Linked DNA regions of Xenopus tropicalis. The protein of the gene in region 2 interacts with the protein of the main gene of each other region in a biochemical or structural test. Links are inferred from orthologs where the notes say so. Each region holds a gene or a part of one and is shown on either strand. Other genes may lie near its edges.

What was found. The genes of interacting proteins can lie anywhere in the genome.
Region 1: of the proteins of syk (region 2) and flt3, one has a biochemical effect on the other in vitro, tested with the Homo sapiens proteins (2 studies listed by IntAct, with this or other methods). The link is inferred for Xenopus tropicalis from reciprocal best matches to the Homo sapiens genes SYK and FLT3.

Annotation. Positions count from the first base shown.
Region 1 is NC_030678.2:155,025,712-155,033,698, forward strand, and holds part of flt3 (receptor-type tyrosine-protein kinase FLT3), read left to right. Parts: coding exon 1-51; intron 52-267; coding exon 268-371; intron 372-790; coding exon 791-923; intron 924-1,004; coding exon 1,005-1,109; intron 1,110-2,306; coding exon 2,307-2,417; intron 2,418-3,680; coding exon 3,681-3,834; intron 3,835-4,249; coding exon 4,250-4,377; intron 4,378-5,410; coding exon 5,411-5,532; intron 5,533-5,888; coding exon 5,889-6,011; intron 6,012-6,676; coding exon 6,677-6,788; intron 6,789-7,100; coding exon 7,101-7,200; intron 7,201-7,987. UniProt on the Homo sapiens protein: Tyrosine-protein kinase that acts as a cell-surface receptor for the cytokine FLT3LG and regulates differentiation, proliferation and survival of hematopoietic progenitor cells and of dendritic cells.
Region 2 is NC_030677.2:138,467,086-138,475,072, forward strand, and holds part of syk (tyrosine-protein kinase SYK), read left to right. Parts: intron 1-2,362; coding exon 2,363-2,444; intron 2,445-4,859; coding exon 4,860-5,037; intron 5,038-5,430; coding exon 5,431-5,640; intron 5,641-7,109; coding exon 7,110-7,299; intron 7,300-7,563; coding exon 7,564-7,704; intron 7,705-7,987. UniProt on the Homo sapiens protein: Non-receptor tyrosine kinase which mediates signal transduction downstream of a variety of transmembrane receptors including classical immunoreceptors like the B-cell receptor (BCR).

The DNA.
Region 1 (7,987 bases), on a different chromosome or scaffold from region 2:
GCTGTGCAATTAATTCTGCAGGGCTGACTTGTGAAAGGATGCCTTTAATAAGTAAGCCGAATCCAAACTTTTCCATTCACAACAAGAAAATGTCTTATTTATGTCTTACTAAATGCATGTATATTTTTATTTACATAGCACCACTTGTGTACTTAATGTTGTCCATTAGAGCAATACATTAATAGAACAGAAAGGCTTAATACAATAATATAATAACAATAATAACAAGTAAATGCAATAATTTATTTTTTTCTCTTTTTTTTTCAGAAGCCATTGTTAAACAAAATTCATATTTTATTCCCGTGGTAACTTGTCTCTGTGCAATAAGCATCCTTTTCTTAATTGCACTGATTTATAGCAAATCCCAAAAGGTAAGAATACAGCTTAAAGGTCCCCATACACGTGAAGATTCGCTTGCTTGGTGAGGTCGCCAAGCGATCGGATCTTCACCCAATATCCCCACCTACGGGTGGGCGATATCGGGGAATGTGTAGGCTAATTCGATCGTTTGGCCCCAGGGCCAAGCGGTTGAATTATAACGAAGGGTATAGGCAAAGTCGGTTCGGGGACCGCATCAACGATCCGACTAGATTTTTTAACCTGCCCGATCGATATCTGTCCGATTTCAGCCCAGATATCGGTCAGGCAGTCCCGTCGGTAGTGCCCATACACTGACCAATACACTGACCAATATTGGCAGCTAGATTTGGCCCGTGTATGGGCACCTTTAGAGTAGATCTATGCTGCCTTTTGCAATCCTTCTGAACATTGCTCTGTCCTATGTTTACAGAAGAACCTCTATCAAAGCCAGTTACAAATGATTCAGTACATTGGCCCATCAGACAATGAATACATATACATTGATTTCAGTATCTTGGAGTATGATCTAAAATGGGAGTTCCCTAGGGAAAATCTGGAATTTGGTACGATAATGACAATCTCCAATATTGTTTTGTAATTTAAATAAATAATACACAAAACTAACTAAATATTTTTAATCCTAGGGAAAGTATTAGGTTCTGGGGCGTTTGGAAGGGTGGTGACCGCAACCGCATATGGTATTACCAAGCCAGGGGTCTCACTTCAAGTTGCTGTAAAAATGCTCAAAGGTATGCTGACATATCCACAGTAGTTCAATGCATTATGGGCTGACTGAAGGCTACTCTACTGGCTTAAGGAAGTTTTCAAATGAGTATATAGTATATTCACAAGTGTGCTTTTTACATCTGAAACATCCCCAGCTTTTATATTTTTAAGCTTCTCTACCCAGTAGATAGATAGAAATGGCTTAACTAGAGGCTACTGGGGCCCACTGCAAATTCATGTTAGGGCCCCAAAACATTGCTAAGTTGACCAACTCTACCAAGATATATTGAAATTGCTCATTAAATGAGAAATATACCCCCCCCCCAACAATGTAAGTCTCTATTAAAATACATTACATAGAACAGCCCATATGTAAAACCCTGCTTCATCTAAATAAACTATTTGTGCCATGGATTTAATAGCATTACCATTTCACAAAAGTGATACATTTTTTTGGTGTTTCAATACTTATTTGGAGGTCTGTTCCCTATAACCTTGAAACATCCAATTAGATCCCAAAGGCTGCTTTTTGCTCCCTGTTACTGGGACAAAGCTATTACACCAGTTACCCTCTTTGTCGGGTTGTACCAACATGGCTTTTAAATTGCAGCAGGAGCTTTATCACACAGTCCTAAATCCATCCAAAGACAAACTGCAAAAGGGCTCAGGTGCATCAATAAAAATCCCAACAAATTTTATTCACCTCTTCCACGTCTAACAGGGACCTGGTGCCAATTTCAATATTTCCAATACTGAACTTTATTACTTTTTAAGAATATGTTTTGGTTGTTTATAGTGTCAGTACAGCTCATGTGCTAGTATATGGTGAAGACATACCCAATGCCAGATACTGCTGTGAAACCTTTTGAAGAACATTTTAACATCATAAGAATAAGCATGAAAAGGGACAGGAACGTGTAGTCAAGTCACCTTAACCACCTCTAGTTCCAACATCAGTGACATTAGTGGACACAAAGTGGTTTATTATGAACCTGGAAGTCCTTTTCTTGACTGGTTTGACCCTTATAAATAGTCATCACAACACTTGTGTTACCCTGTTCCCATGTGACAAGTCTGAAAATAAGAATTATATATCCCTGAAAGACTAGAAAATCAGTGTTGTAGGATCCTTTATAACTATGGACCTGTTATGGTTCCATGGCTAAATACACAGGCAAAATAAGGTTTAAAAATATATTTGGCATTTTTTATTTTCACAGAGAATGCTGATGGTTCGGAAAAAGATGCGCTTATGTCAGAACTAAAGATGATGACTCAAATTGGGCACCATCAAAACATAGTCAATATGCTGGGAGCGTGCACAGCGGCAGGTAATTATGTTACTCTTCTATCCTGTTTGAGAATTGGGTATGTTTGTATTAAACACCCTTAAATGTTATTTCTGACCCACGTAAGGGCAAATTCTTCAGTACAGTAAGAGTGATCAGCACTTAGTCTGGTCTGTAAAATAAATAGTTCAACAAAAAAGTAAAACATTACACAGCTTGTTCCAGACTTCACCATGCTTAAAGGGATTCTGTCATGATTTTATGGTGTAGATTTTATTACTAAATTACAAAATGCACCAGGGGTGGGCCAAGCCGTGTACATTGCAAATAATTCACTCTACCATTTAAGATTTTATTCCTGAACTAATAAATCTATTTTTTACCTGTAATATTGGTGTGTAGGCGCCATCTCAGTGCATTGTGCCTGAGTCTGAGCTTTCAGAAGGAGCCAGCGCTACACATTAGAACTGCTTTCAGCTAACCTATTGTTTCTCCCAGCGCCGGATTTCAAAAGCAGCCGCCCCTAGGCCGTCCCCCATTCGCGCCCCCTGCGCATGCGCGAACAAGCCCCCCATGCCGCGCCGCGTCGATGCAAGCGCGCATGAGCAGGCATTTAACTCCCATACGGAGCAGTGGGGAGAAATCCCCACTGCTCCGTATCGGAGCAAAATTTCAAAATTTCGTTGCGGCGGGGCGGCATGCCGCCCCTAAATTTGTGCCACCCGGGCCTTTGCGGCCTCTCCGCAAATCCGGACCTGGTTTCTCCTACTCAATGTAACTGGAGTCAGGGCTGGAAAGTGTTTTACTATTGAGTGTTATTCTTATATCTCCCACTAGGTGGGGCAAGGGAGCATTTTTAGCAATGCAGGTGTCAGTGAGCTGTTATCTTGTAATCTGCTCGTTGATATCACTCCAACTTGTAGCATTAAAGAGAGACTGAAGCACAAGTCGCATGGCTGAGGGCACTTGGGAAACTAAGAATATGTCTAAATGGATTGCAATGCAGGATTCTGCTGGAGGAGCACTATTAACTGATGCATTTAGTAAAAAACATTTTTCACATGACAGAATCCCTTTAAGTTTTATGCTGGCCTCTGCAAAGGAATACCTTGGCTGTCCAATAGCTGGTGTACGCAGTTCCTCTGACAATTCTCTGCAGTTTTACTATGCTTTATACCAAGCTGGGGTTGTTCTGAGAACAACTGCTATACCCCATTTGTATACAGCTGCCTTGAGCCTTTGTAGCCTGATTGCTTATAATGCTGCCATGTCATAGTGATTTATACTCTCTTTAACCAACAACAGGACCTGTTTACCTAATTTTTGAATACTGTCGTCATGGAGATCTTCTAAATTATTTGAGAAATGAACGAGAAACATTTCACAAAACATGGACAGATGTTGTCAAGGACCATAACTTTAGTTTCTACCATAATTTTACTCAGCACCAAAAACCCAGGTAAGATTCAATCCAAGAACAAAAAACGTTTCTCCTAATTCAGTTCCAGTTTTTTCCCTTAGACGTCAATAGAGTTTTCCCATTTTAAATAGTGAATCTGCCCCATTTCGCTTCTCTGAAAAATTTGCAGATCTTTAAAAAGATTTGCGATACGGAGAAAAATTCTATAAACGTTGGAAATGATGCTTATTAAAAAAAAACTGAGTTTAATAAGATTTAGAATTCACATATTCAAATATTTGAACCAAATGAAAATGTTGACAAATAGGCCACCCCATGTTACATAAATAGCTGATATTTACACAGTAGATTGTATACTGAATAATGTACTCCTTTTCTCTGCCCGATACAATTACACCTATTTTGACTTTAATAGATGAATGATTTCTGTGATTCTCGCTTCACTTGTCTTTAGTGTGAGACGTGAAAGCCTCCTGGACAATGGCTCTTACATGGCCGAGAACAGAACACTGGTATCTGGGAACAGTCAACAAAGATGGGATTTCTCATTAAACTGTGAACAAAATGACAATCAGGAAGAATGTAAGAAATGCAAAAAAACTTTATTGTTTTATATAATAAAAAGAAAAGCTATTACACACTTGGACTGATAGTATACTGTATATGCAGTGTATACAATATAAATGTCATAATATAAGGAAGCTCCCAAACCAGTGCAATTAGAATCAGAATGTATTAATCATCTCTGCAGCATCAGCTACTATGAGAGGAAACCTAATTTTTTGCTTGGAAAACTGAGACAACCCCTAAGCTTAGCTTCTCAACAGCTGCCCAGAGCGCACTGAGCATGTGCAGTGCCACTGGCACTCAAATTCCAAGATGGGGAGCTCAAGGTTAAAGGCCTGGATCATTTCTGCTATAGAGATGCCGAACTGTTAGGCTGGTGCCATGGGTTTAGTTTATAAAATGTGGCATTTGGTATCCAGCTGAATCTATTGTGGAGGATTTGGTGTCTCCAGCTAAAATATATAGATATATGTCATGTCTGTGCCCTGAGCAGGTATAAATGTAGCTACCACTACTCCATCTATAAAGTTATAATCAGGACCAGAACTAGGGGGGGGGGGTGTGATTAAGGCACAATGGAAGGATGTGAAATAAAGCATAAATCATTGCTCCCACTGCTCTGAATTTATCCTGGCTTTAATCAAGTTCCTGGGAGACTGGAAGCAGAGCAGGTCCCTGGTAAGTGGGTGGAGGAGGTAGGGGGTGATGTTTTGGCAAGCCAGCCAATGGGCAGGTGGGCCAGTGAATGGAGGGTGACGAGCAGGGGGTAGTACAAGAGGTTTTGCCTTGGGCAGCTGTATCTCTTGACCCAGTACTGGTTATAATGATTGAATATTTAATACTGCAAAAACAGTGATATTGTCCCCTTGAATGGAAGTGTTTAGCAGCATTACTAGCCATGCCAACTCCTCTCCTGTGCCTGAGATATATCTTTGAAAACAAATGGGCAGACTAGTAAATTTTATTTGATCCAGTTTCTTTTAATCTGAAATAAAAATATTATTGCTTGTGTTTTATCACATAACACAATTATTTTTTCCCTCTTAAGTAATCAAATATGAAAACACAAGATGTTATGATGAAGAAGACCTGCATGTTCTGACATTTGAAGACCTGCTGTGCTTTTCATATCAAGTTGCCAAGGGGATGGAGTTCCTTGAGTCAAAACTTGTAAGTTTACTTGGTTTTAAAATATATTTCTTTCTTTGAGGATAAAATAATTATTGGTACAGTATAATTCATTATTTTATTTTGACTGATCTTTGCCATAGGTACCAGATTGGGTGAAACTATATGAGAGATTGGAATTTCAGATATGCCAACTAACTCCTGATATCTGATTATAAATAAATGACCCATATATGCTGAGATACACGGCCCAGAGAATTTAATGCTTCATGTGAACCTTCTCTGATCCTTACAAACCTCTGTAGGCCCCTGGGACTAATATTGCTGCTATGAAAACTGATAGTCCAATGAGTGGGGATGAATACAAAATTCTGATAACCAATCATTTCCTTGCACAGTGTATCCACAGGGATCTCGCAGCAAGAAATATCCTGATAACCAATGGGAAAGTGGCCAAAATATGCGACTTTGGACTTGCTAGAGATATTGAGAATGACTTAAACTATGTGGTCAAAGGCAATGTAAGTGACATTTTGTTATTATAATCTACTGTTCTTGAGGAAGGGAAAAGGGTTTGGGCAGGAGTGGTCAACCTGTGGCCCTAATGTTGTCCAAGCTGGAATGGAAATTTCAAGACCCCTATTTTACATTTTTAATGGGATCATAAAAAGTGGTGTAAAATCCAAGAAAATGTAAAATCTGGGAAATACATTATACATTATACTGTATATTGATGGGACTTCAAAAAAAAGTGTAAAATGAGAGAAAACTTAAAATCAGGGTATGTAAAATTGAGATGTAACTGTAGCTGGAACAAATGAAGACAAAATAGACAAATAATTCTTGGATGTATGGCTGCTGAGAATGACCATACGCCAAGGTGCAGATGAATAGGAAGTGCTAAACCAAAAGGCAAATGACCTATAGTCACAATTGATACCCAGATATAATTCCTACCTATCTATCCCTTTGATCTTCACCCCCATGCCTTAATGCCTCTCTGTGCAACTCAACTGCCAATAATCCTCCTTCCTTTTCTAGGCCACTCAAAGTCTCTCCCCACCGTACAATGTGAATAGGCTCTGGGAACAACATGCCTTTTTACTGCTATTAGTGTTATCTATAACTTAATTATATAATTGGCCTGTATCTCTAACTGTTTGGTTTGCTTCTATTTTTTTTGTAGGCTCGTCTGCCAGTCAAATGGATGGCACCAGAAAGCATATTTGAAGGCATATATACCATAAAAAGTGATGTGTGGTCATATGGCATATTACTGTGGGAGATCTTTTCTCTTGGTGAGAATTCTATAAATGATATAGACAAGTGTGTGCGTTATTTTAAAGAGTAGCTGCTTCACTTTCCTGGAAGATCCTTCTTTTTTCTTGAAACTTTATAGTTTTTGTATTTTTGACGCTGGTTTTTGTGCAACAGCTCGAAAAATTTGAGTTCTTTTGCGACTTTTCCTCACACAGACTTTTCCTATCTGATTTCTTTTAGTAAATTTTATACATTGAAGGAAATGAGTTCAGTCGAGTTCGAAAATGTAAAAAAATTAGAAATAGAATATTGGTAAATGTGCCTCCTTATATTGCTTCTTTTCACAACAGGAATTAATCCCTATCCTGGCATTCAGGTTAATGCCCAGTTCTACAAGCTCCTGCAAAGCGGATTTAAAATGGAACAGCCATTCTACTCCACTAATGAGATGTGAGTATGTATGCTTGCTGAAGGCTAGAACTACTGCGGCTATTGGCGTAACTTGGGATATGTAGAGCCACGCTACTGTCTTTAGGGGCCAAAAACATTATATAGCACAATGGCTTTTCCTTCTTCTCTCCTAAAGAACTATAGATAGGTAGCTGTAGATAGCACCATTCTATTTGCATAGTAACCTAGAGCAGAAATAATATAGGAGAGACCTCATTTTATACTATATTAATAAGAATTAGAAAATATAAAAATAGTAACTCTGAATGATTTATATATTAAGCAAAAGCTTAAGCGGCAGGGGTTGCAAAAGTATTAGTAGAAGTGCGAGATAATATTTTATTTTGGGTTTAGAGTTAACATAGAGCATGGTGCCACCTGCTGGATGTCTGAAGTCCAGCCCAAATCTTACCCAAACTCATTTTAGTTGTCATTGCACCTATTGTACCATAGTTTTCAGGCCTTGGCCATAGGCCTCTGGGCCCCAGAGTTTCAGAACCACTGATTTAATTAATCCTAAGATCACTGAGCCCCTACAGTTTGCACAAGTAGCAAATTAGCACATCATGCAAACTTTAATAGGCCTGGGAGTATATATCTATATATATATATATATATATATATATATATATATATATATATATATATAGATATATACTGGATATAGAGTGGAGCACACCTGCCACCAAAATAGCAGCCCTGGGTGCAGGTAAAAAAATAGACATATAGAGAAAGAGTACCGCACACTCAGGGACTTGGTGCAAAAGAAAAAAAAAAGGTTTTTTCT
Region 2 (7,987 bases):
ATGTATGAGGCCCAGGGCAATTGCCCCTGCCCCACCTCACTAAAGACAGTAATGCAGTAGTTTTGTAGTTGTTGGTTAAGTTCAGATTTTTACATTCTTAAAATTAAAAATTAAAATAACAATTATCCTCTGAAGGGAAATGCTGTCATCTTCACAGTAAAAACTGCAGTTCTCAAAATGCCAAGAACTGTTGGCAGTCACTTCCCAATATGGAACTGTCTATGGGGGACAATAGATAGAGGGAACAAGTCCATCCGCCAGTATGAATCATGCCCATGCTTATTATAGCTTGTGCCTTAGGCAGTCTAACTGCCATACACTATAGATGTCTGCAGCCAACAGCTGTTCTAGGCATTGTATGCACCAATGCTTTCTCTGAGAAGCTTGTAAACATGATGCCATCGCTGTCCTGAGTTCCATTATGTTTAATATGGTTGTTAAGGGAACCCAAACAAATCTGAAGTCACTGTTTCCCCTAATCATTGGTTTTGGGTGGGGACTTCCAGAGAAAATATGAAATAATTATATTATGCCATTTTAACTGCAGCCTACACATAATTCAGTTGCAGAAATTATATATTTCTCCCTTCACATTCATTTAGCCACTTCTTCATCCGCTTGAAAACTGCTACAAACATCTTGTTTGTTTATTTATGAGCCAGCAGTGCTGCTTTAATATTACTAACTGTGTGGTAAGCTGCTAAAATTACATTAACCATTGATGTCGGTTTCTGCCCTCCACCTGCTATAGACTCAACTACCAGCTGACCTACTGAAGATGCTGGGATTTGTTGTTAATGACATTTGAAGGGCACGCATTTGACATCTCTGCTCTTAACACTCTGCTTTTGGCCCCTAGTGTGGTTTGAAAATAACACAAAACAAGTTGACATCAAAAAATTTGGAAAAAAGGGAAATCATGTATATTATCACAAATGTATCATGTGTCATAAAATATGTGCAGTATATTGATGTGGTGTCAGTGATTGCGGTCAGTGACAGAGATGTTACCACATAATTGACACCACAGAATCATAATATATAAGGAAGATTTTAATTGTTGGGAGGGCTCTTTAGTCTATAAATTCCAGAAATAAGAATGATATGTATAATATTTTTTTTCTGGTATTTGTCTGGCTTAACAAAAGCTCCATGTGTGCTAAAAAAAGAATGAAGTGGGCTTTTCCCAGATTAACTAACAGATAGAATCCAGGTTCTTATTAAAGAGATTTTCATTTGTGGTGAGCTTTGGAACCAGAATGGCCTTCTACTCAACCACCTAATTGGCCTCTATGTTAGTACCATGGCCATTTCTGCATGAGAGAGAATAGAATAGATTGAAGAGAGGAATGATAAAGTAGTAGACAACACCCTAAGGGAAAGAAGAAAATAGGAGAAAAATATCAGATGGGTTTAGAACGGGGAATAAGGGACCAAGGGGTGAAGGGAGAGATAAATTAAGGGCAGAAATCATAGAATGTATTGACAAGACAGTGTGGTACAAAAGTAAGTGAAGAGCAGCAGAAAAACCTATTGGAATGTGGTCTCTTGTCCTAAGGTTTCTAATTTGCTGGTGCCCAGGTTGGCCAGTTGGACACTGGCTCCTTTTTATTTACAGTTTTTTTTTCTTTTGCGAGTGTCAAATTCCCTGCAAGGGAAACAATGGGTAATATTTACTAAGATGCAAAAATACAGCTTGTCTATCTTCAACAAAGTTTTTTTCTGCAACACTGCAAATGTAATGTGCAGAACTATCAGGGGCAAAAATACGTTGTGTAATTATGCCAATGTATTTATAATATAACTAGGCAAGTTTTAGTAAATATGTCCCAATGTGTGGACCAAGTGACTGGTTAGTTATATAGTATTTATAGTAAAATAGTTTATGAACCAAATGTGCACTAAGGCTTATTTGAAAATGAAAACAATGCAAGTGCCCTTAACTAATCGGCAACTATAGCAACCAGTCAGCTTTGGTCTGTTTAGTGCAGTTACAATTATGAATGCAAAAGTCTGATTGTTACTGGTTACTGCAGCAGTGTACATTTGCACCAGTGTTAGAGAATGACCCTTACTATCAATGTGCCATAATGAACTGTAAAGAAAAAAAATAAAATGTATTTTGTCAAATTTGTATGTAAAGAATCGTAATTTGAAGTTGTAAGTACAACAAAAATGAGCATAGGTGTCATGGCAAGTTAAACAAGATCATTTGGAACATGCTATTATATACACACTACTGACATTTTTTTCTATAAAGACAGCTTGATTTTCATCTTGCCATGATAATTTAATTTATACTTAACTTTTTAAAAACACTATGGTCATATTTAACACAGATCTATTTTCTTTACATATTTAGATGACACTGAGTACTGCAGGGGCTCCCAGGCGGCACGGAAGTTCTACATCAATAAATACTTATGTACATAGGCCAAATGCAGGTAAGTTTCATTTAACACATTTACAACAAAATGTCAGATTTGAAGCTGCACCAGGCATATTCTAAAGAATAGTGATGAGCAAAGTGTTTTCGATGTGTGTCATTTTTTTGTCACACAGCAAACTTTTTCTGTTGCAAATTATTGCGCCTGTTTCATGAAAAAATCCGCCAATGGTGAAGCGGGCACAAAAAATTTCTTGACACACGTAGCTTTTTTTGTTGCACAGCAAATTTTTACGTCCGTTTCACCACTGGCGGATTCTTTCATGAAACGGGCGCAAAAATTTGCTGTGCAACAAAAAAAAGCCGCGTGTGTCAAAAAATAAAGACACATCAAAAAAAAACCTTTTGTACATTTTTCAGCAAAATGGCACAGATTCGCTCATCACTAGTAAAGAAACCTAAATATCAGAATGGGCACCTCCCTGTAAGTGACTTTTAGCTGAAAAAAATTTTCATATTGTATCCATTTGTTTTGTATTTGACATGTATAAATACATGTCATATCTATTATGGTAATACAAAATTATACAACATTCACATAAAATATGGATGAATATAGCCCATTTGTGGGGGGCACGTATTACAGTATTGCAAAAGTGTTACATACAGTATACACTCTGTTATCAGATCTTGATAGGTGGCATTGGTTCTTAAAAACATAATTATCTGCTTTAATTGCTGAAACTTCACGCACTCTAGTTTTTTCTTTTGGTTTCCTTTGTTGTGTACATAGAGAAAATTAAATGTAAGGGCATTTGCATTTAGCAGTTTTTTGTTATAAGGCATTGCTGTCCAACTAGTGGTCTGCGGGCCACATCTGGCCCTTGACCCCCCACTTGTGTGCCTGTTTAAGCTTTAAATTGTATCAACACTGAGATTAACTGGCATTGTTCACATCTCAGATTCAGGCTGTAATCAACTGCATTGTTCACATCTGTAAGGTCCTGCATTGTTCAGACCTGTAAGACTGCAAACTGTAGGCACCTGCATTGATCACCTGTTTACACCTCCTGTAGGAGCAGTGCCGACAACTGTTTATCTTGGATTGTTCATGATCAATTACTTATGTAATCATGCTAGGTTTATCTGTCTCCTTCCCTACACTGCCTGTTCTGCTGTACTCTGCCTGCCCTATGCTGCCTGTGTGTGCCATACTCTGTCTGCCCTATGCTGCCTGTATGTGCCATACTCTGCCTGCCCTGCCCTGTGCTGCCTGTGTGTGCCATTCTCTGCCTGCCCTATGCTGTTTGTGTGCGCCATACTCTGCGTGCCCTATGCTGCCTGTGCGTCATACTCTGCCTGCCCTATGCTGCCTGTTTGTGCCATACTCTGCCTGCCCTACTCTGTCTGTTTGTGCCATACTCTGCCTGCCCTACCCTGTCTGTGCGTGCCATACTCTGCTTGCCCTATGCTGCCTGTGTGCCATACTCTGCCTGCCCTATGCTGCCTGTTGGTGGTGAACCTGGCAGGGGTTTTTTCTGGGAGTTTGTTTGCCTTTGTAAATAGTTGTTAGGGGAACCCTAAGGTATGTAATTATGTGCTGGGGGGTTGCTGTGCTACCGACAGGGGAGGAGGAGACATATGAACTTAAGGGTATGTCCTAATATGACATAATAAACTTATTTTACATATGAGTGATGGATGCACTACCACCATTAATGTGAGTATGGTCTTAAAAACTTTAGTGGTAACATGGCTGTGGTTTAAAGTGGGTGTGGTCAAAACTGGCCTCCATTTTTCACCCTCTGCTGTGTAGGCCAGAAAAATTCTGTCCCTCGGTACCACAGATGTTAGACAGCACTGTTACAAGACATACATTCAAAGGGGTGTGGTCTTAAGTACTTTTTAAATGTATCCATGTTAGTTTTAAAACAATTTGTTAACAGTTTAGTTGGTCTGTGCTTAAGTTTTCAATTTTGGATTTACTAGGTGACCTGACTGCCTGATTTCATTTAAATTTTAATTCTTAGGAAGTCAAGAATTTCTGGTCTTGCTATCTCTTTGCCTGTATTAGTCTCAGGGAACTTCTCACAACTGATAACCTCATAGGGTGAAGTGAATTGACAAGATATATTCAGTGTCGGACTGGCCCACCAGGATACCAGGAAAACTCCCAGTGGGCCCAGGTGTCAGTGGGCCCTCTTGCTCCTGACCATTTGGCTTGTTTCATGGTCATTCCCTATTTCTGAACAGGAAGAAAGAGGGGAAATAGATGGAAGAATAGATGCTAGTATGTAAATAAAAGGGACTGGGAGAATAAAGAGGTTGGGTGAGGAAAGGAGGAAAAACTGTTTGGAAAGTGGTCCTAGGGTCTAAGGTTTTCTGGTGGGCCCCTGGGTTCCCAGTCCGACACTGGATATATTCACTTTATATAATTTAGCTTCCTTTAATTGAATTGCTTTGATCACCTCAGAAGTCACAATGGATTCTATGCCTATGGACACTGATGTCTATCGAGGAATATATGAAGACCCAGATGAGTTCAGACCCATGGATGGCAAAATATCTCGGGAACAGCTTACTTTGTTTGAAACTGAGCTAGGCTCTGGCAACTTTGGAAATGTTAAGAAAGGAGAGTTAAAGACATCAAAGTAAGGCATCCATTTGTTTTGTGTGTTTGTGTGTGGGAAAAGATCATCTATTTTTTGACTAACTATATTATTGCATTAATGATGCAGACAGCAGATAATGAATGCTCTCTCATTGCAAAGTACCAAAAAATACACTCTGTAGAGCTCTGATTTGTTGCTTACTAATAGTCTGCATTCCCAGAATTCCAAATCTAGTTTCTCTGCAGTATCTCAGAAGTAAGTGACAGCAATACTCAGTAGATGTTACTGACATAAACAAAACTAAAAACCTTGCAATGTTGAATATTATAGTGCAATATGTTTGGGCATTTTGCCAGTGTTAGTGGTTCATGTAACATTTACTTTTGCTAATGATTTGTATCACAAACACACAAATGCTTATCCTTTGTACAGATCTAAAAAACCAGTAGCTGTCAAAATTCTCAAAAATGACAGCAATGATGAGTCAATGAAGGATGAGCTGCTCAAAGAAGCCAAAGTCATGCAGCTGCTTAATAACCCTTACATTGTGAGGATGCTTGGAATCTGTGAAGGGGAATCGTGGATGCTTGTCATGGAGCTGGCAGGACTCGGGCCTCTAAATAAGTTCTTGGTTAAAAACAAGTAAGCAAGCGAGCAGGGTTTGGTTTCCTGGGGCCATTCCATATTAGTATATCATCCACTGGGACTTATCTTTGCTGGTGTTTGAGCTGAACAAAAGAACTGAACAAAAGAAAAATGGACAAATGTACCCATACTGTAAAATATTAGGATATTAGAAGCAACTGTGGAGTGCCTTTTTTTTCCTAAAAACTATAGTAGTGGTTTGACAATGACAGCTCTGAAGGACAGCCTTATTAATCTGGATCTCTGAAATGCTGGAATGCTGGTTTAGCACAAAAACATGTACTTTAGATTTTAGCAGAGTTTAGGGAATACACAAGGTGACTAGCGGTAGTAGGTGTGATTATCGTACTATTCTGAATAGCGATGAGCGAATCTGTCCCATTTTGCTTCACTGAAAAAGCCACAAAATTGCAGAAAAGTCTCCAAAAATATTTGCAAAATGTGGCTAACGCATCCCTTTTTTTTTAGATAACTGCAACTTTTTGGCACAACCGTGACTTTTACGATATGGCTGCTTATTTTCCCTCACTTGGCAAATAAAATTGCAGATGGTGAAAGGTGGAGTTTCCATGCCTGGTGAAAGATTTCGCTCATCACTAATTTTGAATGGATTCTTTTAGATGTACAATATTGTATGTTAGAGTGCACAGCAGGATACAGGAACTGTAAAATGCAAGTGGATTCAATTTCTAAATTAAGGGTATAACACTATAATAACAGGAGGCTGCTGAAATCCCCTCAGCCTGCTCCACAATAGAGTATGTATTACACTTACACCCTTTACATTGACATACACCCCACTAATATGGTGAATTGTTCGACAGGACTGAACAGCTAGGCATTAAATGATATATTTGTGCAATTCAATAGAAAAATAACTGACATATAGTATACATGCCAACCAATCTTACTCCTGGATTTTACTCCTGGATTCCTTTTAAAGAAATATTTGGTCAGTTCACATATTCTTAGAATTTGAGGCATAGAGCTGCTCAGTTACCTACCACCTAGACAGCACTTTGAGAAAGGATTCTACCTGTCAAGCAATTTGTTCACAGACTCACCCCTATATTCTTTGGAAAATACATCCTTCATCCTTAATCCTTAATGAGGGGAAACAAACCTTCCCATGCCTTATATATAGTAAGTAGGTTCATACGATCCAGGGATTACCCAGATCTCCCACTCATGTCCATGTAGAGCTACCCCACTACCATCAGTCTCATAAAACATTCATCCTAGCAGCTAGGTTCCTATCCTCTTTACTAGGTAGGGGTACTTTCTAGTAGAGATGCCATAACTCTAATATATTTTGTGGATATTTTCACCATGTACCAAAAATATTATAGTATACATTTTATTTTATTCATAATAGCATAGATTAAGCTTATTTGAATTTGTATTTTTTTTAATAACATGGTTTTTAGGTGCAACACATTTCTACTTACATCTTTTTACTATTACAGGAATGTCACAGAACATAATGTAACAGAGCTTGTACATCAGGTTTCCATGGGAATGAAGTATTTAGAAGAAACAAATTTTGTCCACAGAGACCTGGCAGCACGAAATGTTTTGCTGGTCACACAACATTATGCCAAAATCAGTGATTTCGGGCTTTCCAAAGCACTTGAATCTGATGAAAATTATTACCAAGTAAGGTTTTAAAAACAAAAACAGTAAAAACAGTAAATATAATATGATTAAACTCTACAGCCAGGGATTTATTTCGATAAACAATACTATTGGACAAGGGGGTAAAACTTAATTGAAACTCCGCTGATTTATCATATCAGGTTCAATGAAGCAGAATTTTATTAAGCAATATAATTATGTGACCTTCACTCAGCACTAGAAGAATCAGCCTGGTGTCCAACTAAGATTTTCATTTATACTATAGCATGTGTGCTTTCTTTAAAGGCAAAGACTGCGGGTAAATGGCCCATGAAATGGTATGCCCCTGAATCATTAAACTATCATAAGTTTTCAAGCAAAAGTGATGTATGGAGCTTTGGAGTTCTGATGTGGGAGGCATATTCCTATGGTCTAAAGCCATATCCGGTAAGTTGGTGGTTCTTCTGTTTTATTATATTTATCATTGTTTCATTGTTAGGAGGTGTTGTTTGCCATACCTAATGTGTTTTCATTTTACAATAGGTAGGCAGAGTCTGTTGGATGATATACCCCTTTAGAGAAGTATAGGATATACTCAGTTGCCCACGGTCTAGTTCTCTTAGTTTAATAGCGAATCCAATTCCATACTATCTATGCCCCTGCTAAACAACATATTAAATCACAACTCAAAATACATCTTATTCATAAAGACTCTTTATTTCCATTCTTG